Caenorhabditis elegans: one gene and its partner. The protein of the gene in region 2 interacts with the protein of the main gene of each other region in a pairwise test. Each region holds a gene or a part of one and is shown on either strand. Other genes may lie near its edges. The genes, in order: mtl-1 and C02B10.6.

Region 1 (2,955 bases), on a different chromosome or scaffold from region 2:
ACTTTTAAAAGCTCTTAAAAACGAACATTTTTTTAAACATTTTAATTTTCTTTGAAAAAACGGAACTCAGACTTTTCAACCATTTATCAAAAAAAAAGATTTGTGCTGTGTTTTTTTCGAAACTTATCGTGCTCTTTTTCGAATTTTTCGCTAGGTTCTTTTTATCTTATAAAAAAACTGTCTATTGTTGATAATTCTAATATATGAATTTATAATATAATAATACAATGAATAATCTTGCATAATTAGAACTTGATTCACTGAAAGTTATACCTAATACTTATAGGACTGTCAGATCTTGCCCAATAATCATCTTGTATTTAAATTTGGCAAAAGTTTAGTAATACTTTAAGGATTTCGCCAAATCTCATCACAAATCTGACCAAAACCTTTATTATGTCAGTTTAATCTTGAGTAAGAGTTTGGCAAGAGTTGGATAAAACTTCGGTTAAACGTAGGCACAACCTGAGGCAGTTTTTTTAACTTTGAAAATTTTGCCTTTAAAGAAGTTGCTCGTAATCTTTAACGAAATGTATTTATTTATAAGAAAGTTGTCTGAAAGCATAAACTTTCATCACATGCATTTATCCTGATTCAATTAAATTATAATTTTTTGATTTGGCAGATACAAGTAATATACACATTTATTAGTTTACATAAATCTCGGAGGTAATTACAATTTAGTAGGATGTTCACAGTTTAGTAGGAATTGTGGTATTTTCAGATTCAACTCTGAAACATTTTAATGAGCCGCAGCAGTTCCCTGGTGTTGATGGGTCTTGTCTCCGCACTGCTTCTGCTCTGCACAATGACAGTTTGCACACTTGCAGTCTCCCTTACATCCAGCTGGACAGCATTTTTTCTCACTGGCCTCCTCACAGCAGTACTTCTCACAACACTTGTCTCCACTGCATTCACATTTGTCTCCGCACTTGCATTGCTTGTTTTTGCAGTCTGGAAAAGTTTTGACTTTAAGAAAAATTTAGAAAGCTTGTTGATTTGCCTGCTATTCTCAAAACCATTTTAAACGTGTCACAATTGTTTTTGAAATCTATAAAGTATAGATTAACTCACCACACTTGCAAGCCATGATTTCTTAATTTCAGCAGTCAAATTGAGCTGCCTTCTTCTTTTTCTCACTGCCTTTTTATTTGGTTTTTGCTGGCTGTTTACCACTTCAAATATGTGATAAAAGAGGGTGGCCCTGTCACAATGTACAAACTTATGATACTAAAAGAATAGAGATATAGAAGAGACCCAAAACAATAACAGATAGTTGATTGTGAGTTTGCTCATTGATCTTGAGCACTCTAATCCTTTGCACAATTTTTTGTTTGTTTTTAGAACGTTTTTAGAGAGACTCCGTTCTAGTATACGATTCAGTCACAGCTCTAGTTTCTGATTTTATCAGTTATTGACAAGGTGTTTGCAACATTCACGTACCATTGATGTGACGTTTTTAGCACAACATTCATTTAAACACGTGTGTTCGTTCCAAAAAGAATTAGAAAAATATTGTTTTATTTCAATTGACAAGATTGATAAGCGAAAGAATTATAGATCGACAATAATTTAGTAGTAGACGTGGGAAAAGTTCACTTGCTCATTGGTTATTTCTTTTGCTCAGTCTTCTCGGTTTTTCCTTCACAGCACGATTTTTTCTCTTCCTCGCAGCAACATTTTTCGACGGTACACTTACACGTTTCTCCACAGGAGCAATTCTTGCAGGCTAAAATAAAAATAGCTAAAAGATGTTTCCAGTTTTAACAATTTTTACAACCTTGTTTTTTTTTTGAAAAAAAAATCTATTTTTAAAACTTAAAATTAAATCTTGAAAATAATAAATCAAGAATTAAAATGTTCAATTCCAAGTTAAAAATTCTGATGTCACCAATCATATGAGAGACCATATTAACAACAAGGTGACGTCTGAAACATCTAACTTTTTTTACCTGATTTTCAAAATTTATTTCTCAGAGTTCTTTTTTTTTAACTGGACATATAATGTGAAAAATAAAAGAAATTAGGCAAATGCTCTTTTACTACCTCATCTTTTACTACGTTGCTCTTTTACTACGGTTTACTCTTTTACTACGGCCGTATTTTTTACTACGTTTTCCAATTTCGATGCGAAAAATAATTTCGAAAAAAATTCAGATTGTATTTATTACTGGAAAATACAAGATTGGGGTCGTTTTTCAGAAACAAATTTTGGGCCTAATTTTTTTTTTGAAAATAGCTTATTCGAGGAATCGCCGAAGTTCCCGACCTGCTATTAAGTGGAATTTGTAGAATGTTTAAAAATACACTCGAAAAAGTAGTTTTCAAGATAAATTTATCTTTTATCGATAAATTTCAGGTCAAGGGAATGTTTTCACTGGACAACAACGTTTATAAACAGGATATTATTTACAGGCACATTTTTTTCCAGTAGAAATAACTACAAAAAGGGCCATTTAGTTGTTGATAAGGAGAGTTAACAAAGTTTTCAGAACTAAATATCTGAAAAAGTAATGGAAGCTTCCTACTTCGTACAGCTCGGTTGGTTTCACATATACCTTGGAACCGCGGCCGCCACTCGCCTGTTTGGAGAAGTGGTAAAGCGCGCGCTCTTCAGTAGAGTCATTGCTGGTTCGAATCTGGATCCATTCAGATTTTTTTTTCAAATAGTTTGCACGGGAAAAGTGTTCCTTATCTTAAGCTTACAAGTTTGCGATTGATCAATTTTTCACATTCCCTCTGCCCGAAAAGATATGTGAGTATATAGAGCCCTACTTGCCGAGTTTCTTAATATTATGCCAAATTACAAAGTTGACATGAATGTTTTCAAAAACAACAGGTTTAGAATTTTTCTACAATAACTGATTAGTGCTTAATAAAGTTTCAAAATAGTTTTGTTTGGAAAATTTTCATAAATTTCATTTTCCCGTTATGATATCGTCGGATTCAGTTAAA
Region 2 (3,931 bases):
TTTTCCGCTGTTAATCAGTACCGATCAACCACCATGGTAAGTTTACTCCGATCTTCAAATGTTTAAGCTCTTTTTCAGAGTTTTGATGAAATTGACAAGACCTTCGGAACCAAGAACCGCGATCAAGGATATGATTTGCTCAAAGCGGTAAGTTTCAGACATGAAATATATACAATAGAGAATATAGTATCATTTTTGAAGAATGTGCTATTGAGACTTGAATTTTCTATTTTCAGCGTCTCGACAAAGGTGATCGTTCGGTGGAAGTCTTGTGGAGACTTGCTCAAGTAATTCATGAGAAGTCTGCATGTGTTCCAAAAGCTCAACGTAAGGCAAGTGTCACCGAAGGACTCAAGTTTGCTGAAGAAGCTGTCCAGAAGGATCCAAACCATTTCAAGGCGCTGAAGTGGAATGCTGTGTTGACTGGACAAGCAACCGAATATATGGCAACGAAAGAAAAGTTGGAATGCAGTAAGAAGTTCAAGGAATTGCTCGACAAAGCTCTTGCTAAGGAGCCAAAGGATACGGCTCTCCTCCATTTGCGTGGCCGTTACAAGTACTCGGTGGCATCTCTGACATGGCTTGAGAAGAAGCTTGCTGCCACGTTCTATCAGCAACCACCATCACATTCCTATGAAGAGGCCAACGAGGATTTCCTTGCTGCTTATAAGGTCAATCCAAAATGGATGGAGAACACATTTTATGTGTCCAAATGCTACGTAGCAATTAAAGACAAGGTACGGAAGATAGATACGTGTAACATTATCCCCATGCAAGCTTCTCAAAAATCTTTGATAATTCCAGAACAACGCTCGCAAGTACCTTACCGAAGTGTGTGACATCGAACCGTATTCCGACGCTGAACAAGAGTTTGCCGATGATGCGAAGCAGATGTTGTCTAAGCTTTAAGTTTATTCAGTTTCCACACGAGAAATCTAGCCAGAACATTTAAATAGCATCCACAAATGCGTTCTCGTATTGTAGAAATGTAAAGAATAAAAAGTTTGAAAAATGTATCTGTTTACTGGATTTACAATCAAAGAAACCGAATTATTCCGGAGAGCCCATGGATAACCTTTTCCACTTTTGAATTTATAATATTTAGTTTAATTTTTAATATTCTCTCCGTAGCAAATGTCCAAAATATTCGGGAATAGCCAACATCGTGGAAAATGTTGAACTTGCTGAACAGAAACCTATAATAGCTGAAAACTATTTTATTCCATATTCATCAATACATTGCTCTGACATTCTTGTACTTCAGAAATAAAAGACGAAGTAATAGAATGTACAATAGATATACGAAGCAATTTTTCGGGGTATCTAATGTCTGTCTGACCCAAATACTTAATATAGGTATATGAAACAACTCCTAATGTTTTATATGCCTGAAGTTCTGTTTTTCTGATTGAAATGGAAGCGTCTGGCACCTAGAAAAATGTTGTAATTAAATTATGAAAGCCCTTAAAATTTGGAACAAGTCCCCGACGAAACATTTTCAAAAAAGTTCATTATAAGTCAGATATTAATTTTTAAAGTTATGCAAAAAATAAATCTCTCTAGGCTTGTCTCCTATAATAAATTTGGAACTAGCATCTCCCGTTCCGCATGTTGCAAATTTAAAACCACCGTCCGAAAACTGGGCGCATACTTTTGTCTCTAACATTGCTGTACCTGCATTTTTTATTTCTTTTTTTTTTCAAAATATGTAAAAATATTTTGTCTCTCTTATTATCTAAATAGTTGTTTTGTTTGTTTTTGTCTTTTAGGAGAAATTTTAAGTAAAACACCGACATCTCAATGACCAATTTTAAAGACAAAAATAAAGAGAAATCGCTTAGATATAATTTTATGTTAATTATGTGTAATATTAATTATGTTTGAATTTTTCCTATTTTTTTTTTCAAATATAAAATAAGAGTTTCATTTCTCAAAAGTTCATAACCTCACGTGCCCCCCCCCCCCCCCCCTCATGCCACGTCATCGATCAGATAAGAAGCTTCGTATAAATAATGTGAAATTGTTCACAAATCATCAGTTCTCAATCAAGCAGCAATTGTTTAGCAAGCTAATCAACTGAAGCGATGAACGTTGCAAACAATAATTGCGGACAAATGCTGAGCGATTCTTCGGAATCATCGGAGCCACCAAGAGCCCAAGCTGGGGCAGTTTTCGGGAAGAAGGATAAGGGGAAGAAGGCCGATACGAAGAAGAAGAATACGGCGACGGAGGGCTCGAAGCGTGTGAAGAAGGAGAAAAAGAAGGATGACGGTGAAGCGGCCAAAGGTGATCCGACAAACAAAACCAACATGACACCTGCTCCACCACAGACCCATCCGATTGTCGAGCAGTGGGTGCTCAGAGCACTGGATGTTGGAGTTGACAAGCTTCGTGAGGAATTCCGTGGATTGGCAAAATACACGAGACCCGACATGACTCAGGTCATGTTCAATGCCAATCAGTCTCCGGACATTGCCATCACGAAGAATCGGTAAGTTGTTTTTTTTCACACTTTACAAGTCAATCATGAACACACTTTTTCAGTTACCAAGATGTCCCGTGCCAAGACCAAAGTGCGGTAAAGCTGGATCAACCATCTCCGTGCAACTACATCCATGCAAACTACGTCGGATGCCCCATGATCCCAGAAAAGCGTTTCATCTGCGCCCAGGGACCACTTGACCAAACGATCGATGAATTCTGGTGGATGGTCATTCAAAACAAGGTCGAGCAGATTGTCATGCTTTGCAAGACCGTCGAGATGGGAAAGCTCAAATGCGCTCAGTACTGGCCAGCTGCTCAAGGCGAAAAGCTTACTCTGAAGAGTGGTTGTGTCGTGGAGAACGTGTCGGGCTCGAAGCCAATGGAGAGGGACCCGGAGATTCAGATCACTATGCTCAACCTTACTTATAGTGGTGGTCAGACGATGTCCGTTCGTCATCTTCAATGGACTGAGTGGCCGGATCGTGGAGTCCCACCTTGTAAGCTAACAAGCTTGGAGCTGCTTTCCGCAATCCGCGGATCCAAGGTTCCAATCGTCGTGCACTGTTCTGCCGGGATTGGGCGTACCGGGACCATCGTCGCCATCGAATACATTCTTGGTGAGTTTTGAACAATGTTAGTTTTTAATAAAAATTTCTATAATTTCAGAGAAGATCGCCGAGAACAAGCCGTGCCCTCCGATGCCTGAGCTTGTGAAGGCACTCCGTGATCAAAGGGCCTTCTCAATCCAGAACGATGTCCAGTACCTCTTCATTCACCGTGTCATGCTCAACTACTTCCTCGAGAAGTACAAGGAAAAGTATGCGGCTTTGCTGACAGCGGAAAATGTGGCCAAGTACGACAAGTTTATCAAGGATTACAATGCAGCGGTTGGACAATAATTGAACTTAGATTTGAAATAAATGTTTTGTATTGATAAAATGTGTTAGTTTTTGAGATTATCCAAAGTATCAAGTAGCCATCAGATCTGGACAAGAAATAGATACGTTATTTGGTAATATTTTCTGCGGTTTTTGAGAGTCGAGAAAGTATTAAACCGGACATTTGGCATTAGGAATATTTAGATAAGGAGTGCCGCACAACCATTGCTTCTCCAACAACCTTAATTTTACTTTTTATGGGAAAAATTGAAAATTTTCCATAAACAGTCTAGTTGCGTTTTAAAGTCCAAAAAACATATTTTTCCTCCTTTTTCTTCCTAATTTTCAACTGAAAATGTGTTTTCTCTCGGTTTTCATTCAAATCAAATAAATAAGCACTTAAACTGATCACATGGACAATGCCTACAAACTCAAGGCGCCTGATTTTTGAATTTGTTGCTCTATGAAGTTTTTCTTTTTTTCTTCCGAAATCCACGCCGCCGTCCATGATCTCAATTACAACTACATGCTCTGTTAGGTCAAAATAGTCGCCGTGTGAATAGTTTTAT

Evidence for each region.
Region 1: the proteins of C02B10.6 (region 2) and mtl-1 interact in a two-hybrid assay, tested with the Caenorhabditis elegans proteins (one large-scale study listed by BioGRID).

The regions. Positions count from the first base shown.
Region 1 is NC_003283.11:6,690,743-6,693,697, forward strand, and holds mtl-1 (Metallothionein-1), read right to left. Parts: upstream 1,122-2,955; 5' UTR 1,091-1,121; coding exon 1,075-1,090; intron 955-1,074; coding exon 743-954; 3' UTR 629-742; downstream 1-628. Other genes in the region: W02F12.8 (Metallothionein), read right to left, coding at 1,611-1,729.
Region 2 is NC_003282.8:5,068,847-5,072,777, forward strand, and holds C02B10.6 (Protein-tyrosine phosphatase), read left to right. Parts: upstream 1-2,046; 5' UTR 2,047-2,084; coding exon 2,085-2,491; intron 2,492-2,544; coding exon 2,545-3,101; intron 3,102-3,150; coding exon 3,151-3,383; 3' UTR 3,384-3,417; downstream 3,418-3,931. Other genes in the region: rmd-6 (Regulator of microtubule dynamics protein 1), read left to right, coding at 34-36, 79-147, 237-737, 805-909.